2 linked regions of the Arabidopsis thaliana genome follow. The protein of the gene in region 1 interacts with the protein of each later gene in a pairwise test. Each region holds a gene or a part of one and is shown on either strand. Other genes may lie near its edges. The genes, in order: RTH and CB5-D.

Region 1 (4,506 bases):
AATTATGATAGTGCAATAGAAATCTCTTCCGAAAGAACGAAGGAAAGGTTAACTATTTCGCTCAATAATCAATGGAGAACGAATTAATTTTACCTCTCCTGGGTGACGGCTATTTAGAGCATGCACATCAAGCTTGTAATTGTGTTGTGGAATTAATTGTGATGCATCTGAGGTGTGAGCTTCAACATCCTAGATGAGAAGAACGAAAAAAATCTATCAATCTGACCACCAAATTTGTTGCAGGTACGAATGTAGTTAAGGAATATGCAGATAAAGAAGTGAGCAGAAAAGAATAAATAACTGACATCAGTCTTTTTACTCCATCGAAGAAGGCCAGTCTTGCCAGCAAATGCATAGACAGAAAAGTGACGCAAGTTTATGGCTCCAGAATCTTCAGAGGCCTGAAAGGAAGCTTAAAATTCTTCTAAACTGTCCAAACAAAGTTCTTATGCACATTGGAACATGTATAACTACAAACGAATAGCTCTTTCTTCAGAATTGTTCAGTTCTAGAGAAAATGTATAAGGAAACTATAAATATACACAGCTACGAAACAGTCCAAGGAAACTATCATATAGTCGTACCTGATTCTCAGTAGCACTTCTTCTGTGTTGATCAGCATTTTGTGCTGTCATGCCAAGTTCCTCAAATGGGTCCATGTGATTCTAAAACGAAAAGAATAATCTATTGGTAACATATGGAAGATACATAGGAAATCAACAGAGGAATTTTTCATCCTACATACATATGGCTGCATCTCCATCCGTCCACCAACAATAACCAAACCCGTATCACCATGCTTCAATGTGTAATTGCTTATCGAAATTGCTATCTCTCTATGGTGTGCATTATGTGGGAAATCCTCCTGTCATTCCACCAACAAAGGTAAGCAAAAGGAGAATCAATACTACTGAACCAAGACAAACTTTTATGCAGAACGTTAGACAAAGAACGAAGAAGATAAAAACCTGCAGATTCGTTTCCCACAGCTTTTTCAGGTTGTGATCAAAGCAGAGCACAGACCAACCTGAGGTAACAACGACCACAACCTGCTTCTGGGGAGTTCCATTTTTATAGTACCTATCAATAACACCTGTGGCCATGGCCACAGCACGTCTCCCTGACGCAACACGGATCTTGTCAGGCAAAAGAGTGATTTCCGCAAGAACACGTGCTTCACTAAAACCTTCATCCACACGCCTGGAATGAGGCTCCAGAACCTAATCCAACAAAACATCAACAGTTTCAGAACTTAATCCAACACAGAACAGCAAACCATAGAAGAGAAATGCATAATCACCAAGCCTCACATCATTAGTTCGACAAAAAGGCTCTAAAACAATAAAGAGCAATGCATAAGCACTGAACTATAAGCTGCAATCATTCGTTCTAACGACCGAAATAGCCAGATAGACTCTATAAAAATTGGCGAGAAAGATCGAAATCAGAAATGTTTTTACCTACAAAAGTTAGAAAATTTCATATGATACCTGAATTTTGGCATCATTAGTAGCAACGAGAACCTCCTTCTTTCCATCACCATTAAGATCAGCTACAATAGGTGGTGGGAGACGATCAGCTTCGTATTTGACTGGGTATTCATCATACAAATGAAACCATGCTTCTTTGAACGCAAAATCACCCTCGTGCTGCAAAAGTCATCAAGTCCCACATATCAAGTAAACGCACCATTAATAAGAAAATTGAATCCATTGGTTCCATCTGGAAATTCTACAAATTCGCTAACATGACACTACTTACGGATCGAATTAGCAGTCTAAGTTCTACCCACAAAGGAAAATTCAAAGCTTTCTCAAGTAACAGATCGATCAATGATTCTAGATGTTCAGCTACAATTTGATTGAACTAAGAAAGAATAAGAAGACGATTAGTGTGTAAAATCACCTGAAGAGTGAAGAATATAGCAAATCCAGAGAGCATCAAAATAGCCAAATCGCGTTTCCTCATCTTTGCCCTAACCGCAAGCAGATGTATCAATGGCAGATTTGCATCAGTAGGTAGCAGCAATCTCCTTACCAGAGCAGAGAGAACGATGAAGAATAGTCGACAACTTCAAAACTACGCCGTATAGATATATCAGACGTTTAATAGAATAACATCCTGACGTTTTTGTTCTCTTTGACCGAACGTTATGTCGTTTATACTACTATCCTTGAAACGGTGAAGATATCCGAGAGAGGATTAGTTTAAACAAGGAGCCAAACACGTTCTTTAGTGTCATCGTTCGTAAAATTGGGGCCGAGAGAGAAACAAAAATTTCCCAGGAAAAAGGCAGTGATTGAAGATTGTATTAGATCCGATTAATCGTCTTCCTGGTCGCTTGAACTGGTATGTATGCTTTGATCTATTCTTTATGAAAAAGTTTCGGAATCAATGTCTATGAAGATGCTTTGATGTTGACTCGTTGCTAGTTGGATTATGTATCTTTAATGGCGTTTTCTGGATCCCTCGTTCGCCATGTTCGTATGGATTCATCGTTTAGTGTTTAAGACTCGCGATTCGTAGAACTACGAGAATTGTTTACTTAGCTTTTCTATGTAGTGGTCGTAGTGTTTTAGCACAATGTGTTGATTGAATATCAATTAGACGACTCTTGTTTCAAGTTTATCCAGTAATCAATGAATTGGTAGTAGCTTGGTATATGCAAAAATCCAAAGCAGCACAGGGCTAGAAGGAGCTGCTTATCGCTTCTGGAAGGCTCAGTCCCAACTCGGACTTCCATGATGGGATGATATGCATTTATGTTTTGGGTTCGATGTAAATGATATGCATCAGCTATTCGAGTATTAAGAACAACTTTTACATATCAAATCCAAGTGCTTTATTGAATCTTACTTACATGGGGATCACTGGACGTGTTGTTTTTTGCTTACAGAGAATCAAATAATTGAGCTCAACTGGATTTGGATATGGGAGAGACAGCAACAGATTCAGAACATCGCATGATGATCGGATTATCGGATCCTATGAAAATTGATCCCAAAAGAGACCGGTTTCCATGCTGCATTGTTTGGACACCTCTTCCCTTCATTTCATGGCTGGTTCCCTTCATCGGCCACGTCGGTATCTGCAGAGAAGACGGTGTCATCCTCGACTTTGCAGGACCTAATTTTGTCTGTGTTGATAATTTTGCATTTGGAGCTGTTTCTCGATATATTCAAATCAACAAAGAAATGGTAACGTTTGCAAGATGCCGGCTTTCATTTTCAACCTTGATACAAAGTAACAATTTATTCATATTGGCCTTGGATTTGAATCAGGAGTCATCTCGTTCTTCCAGTTCTGGTATGTTCAATGGTGAGAGGAGATATGAGCAAGAAGAAGATAGTCATGAGAAAGAGCCAACATGGGATGATGCACTGAGAAAAAGCACGCAAGAGTACCAACATCACTCATATAACATACTCACATGCAACTGTCATTCCTTTGTAGCCAACAACCTGAACCGTCTATCTATAAAGTCAGGCGGATGGAACGTGGTGAATCTCGCGACACTAGTGCTTTTCAAGGGACGTTGGGTGAACAAAACGGCTATAGTAAAGTCCTTGTTGCCTCCACTCATAGTCTACACTATAGGAATCTTACTCGGTGGTTGGACTTTCATTGCCTCCTGCTCGATTCTAGTGGTTTTGCTTACCGGGTGGTTCATCATTGGAACGTATTGTTTCAAGAAACTGATTCAGCTGTAGATTTGAATCATAATGTACAAATGATGTCTACAAAATGTTTTTTACTTTTTACGATGGATATTTACAACTTTGCTTTGTGTGTGGTTAATTTGTTACAAGTAAAACTTTGAGGAGTAAAAGTGTGAATATTTATGATTTGGGTAAAGAAGGAAAGTAGCAATTGGTGGGTGTAATTATGGGAAACAAAATCACGCGTCGAATAAAGTAGAAGAGAAAAACTATTGACGGGCAAAATTGGGATTGGTAGGTGACGCGCATGCTAAGTAATTGAAAAAAAAAAAACACAAGAGGAGAAGAAACAGAACAGAGAAGAAAAAGAGAGAAGATGGCTTCGGAAGAAGGACAAGTGATCGCCTGCCACACCGTTGAGACATGGAACGAGCAGCTTCAGAAGGCTAATGAATCCAAAACTCTTGTAATCTTCTTCTCCCAAATTTCTTGATTTCATTTTGTTTTTGATGAGATATGGATTTGTTATTATTCTTGATTTGGTTTGTTTTGGGTTGCGTTTTTAAATAGAGTCTTTGATCTCTCATACTTAAGCAATGTAATGATATGATTCTTTTTTGTATGAATTCATGTTTGAATTTTATGACAATTCTTGGATCTGCATTACCATAGATTAGATCCTAGGATTGGTAGGAGATCATAATGACTTATATTACGAGTCATGTTGATAATTCTATGAAACTAAGGGATCCCTAGAAAAATGTTTACGCTGAAGATAGATGTAATGTTCACAATTCTTACGATATGATATGTTTTTAGTGTAAATGGTTTTTCAATGAAAATGATT
Region 2 (3,714 bases), on another chromosome or scaffold:
ACTGTAATGTAAGTTCAGAGTTAAAAGTACAAACACAAAGGTGAATTTTGTACTAATTAGTAAAGAGATAAGAGTGTTTTGAATCTTGAATATCAAATTATTATTAACAAGAAACTGACAAAAAGATGAGACAGTGTTCATTGAGAAGATCTCTGTTGTTTTATCTTTTTTTTTACATTTCTTGGAAATTGGCAAAACCAGTGTGATGAAACTGTGAAATCTTATCTCGAACCCAATCATTGTTCTATGTTTTTCTTTAATCTCTAAAAGTGAAAAAGTGAATGCATGAAACGTTCAGATACATTCATTATATTATACATTTATACATATGGACATGGTGTACGTATGTACACGGGTGCTTGTTTGATCACGGGCTCACTGACTATAAAAATCATGTTTTTTGGGACATATAGATTCGCTTACATCAACTGTGTGACCAATGGGGTATCTGAATTCAGCTTGTTCGATGTTTTGTTTGACTCTTTTAAACTATTTGGTAGTAAAAAGCCAAAAAGGAAGAGCACTGATTACGAAAGCCTTTTTGTCTTTTTGTTTCTTCTTCTCTAGCTCTCTTTCGTTCTCCTTTTGGGTTAGTCCTTCAAAATAAATGTCTTTAACTTGTCATGTATAGTTTCTTTCTCTCGTTGAACACCAACCATAGGCCTTGCAATGTGAGTCAAAACATGCATTGAAAAAAGAAGTGAATTTCAACATTAAATGCTCTCGTTTAACATGCCTATGGTTCCATTAAGCAAAGTACACACTCTATATATGTCGAAAGAACTATACAGTCGGTGTTTTAGCCCTATAGTTAGATACATTCGAACTGATTACAGAAATATCAAATATCCAGTTCTAAGATCGGATTAAGGCAAATACATTTAAACTACTTCTAGCGAATGAGGTTCACATAGAAAAACTTTTTAAAATGAATCACTAAACAAGATTCATTTTCTTTCTAAATAGTGTAAAGACGAGTGATGCATGCAACTGCTCTCCTTTCCGTTGGTCCCTTGTCAAAATATACGACCGTGAATAATTCTTCCCATCATATTTATCTGTCGGAGAGTTCCAACCTCAAAACATTCTCCTTCTCTTATCAATTCTTTCTAAAATCATAAACCAACAAACTGGGCCTATGATCAATTATTCATATTCAATTTAGCCTATAACTAAAACCACACTGCTTTCGTTACACTGGCCTTCCGACAAGTCTCTTTGACTGTTTTTATCTTAAGCGCCATCAAGTTTTAAAGAAGACAACCCCATATCTTTCCTCCCATGAATCATCGTGTCCATATTGCTATAGTTCATGAAAAAACTAAATACTATCGACAACTGAAGAAAAGATCCGGATCTTGTGGACCGAGTGAATGGTTGGGCCCAATTAGAATGGTCTACCCTAACATCTAGCCGTCTACACGATTGATCATACGTCTAAGAGGGCGAAACCACCAAACGTTTGGATTTTATCTAAATTGATGTACATAAAGCTAACATGATTTTAGTATAAACATTATAAGCATCATGGAAATCAATAAGCTAACATGATTTTAGTAGAAACATTATCAGCTAACATGAATTACTAAAAACATTTATTTTATTTTAAGGAAAAACATACAATACTAAGATTTTTTATAACATTTTTTCTTTGTAACATTATAAATTGTTTTAGTTTCTACATTAATTAAATATATAAAATAAATTCATTTAAATAATATAAGAAAACGGAATCTTTGATTAACTGCTGATTATTGGCCACTGATTAATTTCCGACCCCATCAATAGATGAGATCAGACATACACAACTTAAGTAGACCAAAAAAGCGGTTGGTGTAAGATCCCAAACTCACAGATTCCCAAATAATAGTAATACTCTTCCTCTTCTCAACTCTCACCAGTCACCAGCAGATCATCGGAGATGGGCGGAGACGGAAAAGTTTTCACCTTGTCCGAGGTTTCTCAGCACAGTAGCGCCAAGGATTGTTGGATCGTCATCGACGGCAAGGTCCTACATCTCCGATCCCAGTTTCTCATTCGATTTTCCGTTTTCCCTTAGATTTTGCATCTTATCTTCGTGAGATCCGAAATTCTTGAGTTGTGTTGACTTGGATTTATAAATCTAGAGTTATGTAGTAACAAGTTTGGGGATAGATCTGATCTGATTTGCTAGATTAATGTTACTTTTCTAAGTCTAAATCACAGAGAAATTGCTAAAAACTTACGTCTTTATAATTGAATGTGATAGTTGGTGCTGCTTAAGATGTCTCTGTGTGATCTTGTATCTGTAGTTAAAGCTAGTAAGGTTCATGTAGTTCATGTATGTTCTGATGTATGAACTTTTGATAACCCACTTAATCTAGGTCTCTGATTGTGTGGAATTAGGGACTTATATGACAAAGTTTACATTTTTTGTGTGTTTCATTTTGATGGTTATATATAGGTTTATGATGTGACAAAGTTCTTGGATGATCATCCTGGTGGTGATGAGGTTATCTTGACTTCTACAGGTAACATATAGAGATCACTTTCTCTGTTTGTTAGTTCATGTTTATGTTAACAAGAATGTGTTGTTGGTATTCAGGGAAAGATGCGACCGATGATTTCGAGGATGTGGGACATAGTTCGACTGCGAAAGCCATGCTAGATGAGTACTATGTGGGTGATATTGACACAGCTACTGTGCCGGTTAAAGCTAAGTTTGTGCCTCCTACGTCGACGAAAGCCGTGGCTACTCAGGATAAGAGCTCGGATTTTGTTATTAAGCTCCTTCAGTTCCTTGTTCCACTTCTAATCTTAGGCTTGGCTTTCGGCATTCGGTACTACACTAAGACCAAGGCTCCTTCTTCTTGAAAGATTGAATTGTGGCCTAAGTGAATTGCTTGTGTACGACGTGGTTAAACTCTGTCTCTACCTCTGTTTGTCTTGTAAGACATCATTATATTCTCTATTCCAATCAACTGATAGACCTTTGATTTTTAAGCCATCTACCTTTGTTGTCTTATATCAATCAAATCCATTTACAATATCACTCACACACCAGTCTCAAGTCTCACTTAAAAAGCAGCAACAGGTAAGAGAAAATGATAAACACTGAGCTAATCTGTGCTTGCGCAAGTTCTCTCCATCAGTACCTTTGAATCTGTTCTGAAAGACTGCTTTGATGGAGAGCTTGATCCTCTTGAAGAGCTATGCCCAAAGAAGCTAAGTTTCCCCATTTTCTTTGAGAAACTGCTCATGAATTTGCGCGAATGAGACCTCTGCATATCTCTCTTCATACATATATGTTCTTTCTCTAGGTCGTTGAGTCTCATTCTCAACCTAGCTAACTCGAGCTTCAGTTCTCGGTTTTCTCTCCTCAGAGACGCATAGTTGTCTTTGGGGGACATTGTTGCACTGAGAGCTCCGCTATTGATTCTCCATGACTGCTGTTGTTGCTGCTTTGGCTTTGGCTCTTCGTCTGAGTAAGAAGAGCACAAGGAGCTTCGAAGCTTGAGTTGCTCAAAGTAGAGAACTTGAACTATGGATTGCAGAGGAAGCCGCTCGTTTTGTGCAGCGTGTGCTCCAGCTTCTTGTGAGAGTTTCTGGAAGTCAATAAGTTTTGATAGTTTCTTCTTGTCTGAATCTGATAACCCTTGATGTGCCTAAGAGCATAAAACCTAATAAGTATCAAGTCACAACAAGAGTAAGTAAAATTTTCTTGTAGCAACATAC

Evidence for each region.
Region 2: the proteins of RTH (region 1) and CB5-D interact in a two-hybrid assay, tested with the Arabidopsis thaliana proteins (one study listed by BioGRID).

What each region holds. Positions count from the first base shown.
Region 1 is NC_003074.8:18,951,485-18,955,990, reverse strand, and holds RTH (RTE1-homolog), read left to right. Parts: upstream 1-2,189; 5' UTR 2,190-2,349; exon of another isoform or gene 2,350-2,896; 5' UTR 2,897-2,930; coding exon 2,931-3,197; intron 3,198-3,281; coding exon 3,282-3,710; 3' UTR 3,711-3,918; downstream 3,919-4,506. Other genes in the region: AT3G51050 (FG-GAP repeat-containing protein), read right to left, coding at 94-189, 306-401, 585-665, 746-865, 969-1,220, 1,491-1,649, 1,906-1,968; TRX1 (thioredoxin H-type 1), read left to right, coding at 4,036-4,125.
Region 2 is NC_003076.8:19,788,388-19,792,101, reverse strand, and holds CB5-D (cytochrome B5), read left to right. Parts: upstream 1-1,729; 5' UTR 1,730-1,921; coding exon 1,922-2,008; exon of another isoform or gene 2,009-2,443; coding exon 2,444-2,510; intron 2,511-2,584; coding exon 2,585-2,853; 3' UTR 2,854-3,035; downstream 3,036-3,714. Other genes in the region: AT5G48800 (Phototropic-responsive NPH3 family protein), read right to left, coding at 3,099-3,644. UniProt on the Arabidopsis thaliana protein: Membrane bound hemoprotein which function as an electron carrier for several membrane bound oxygenases, including fatty acid desaturases.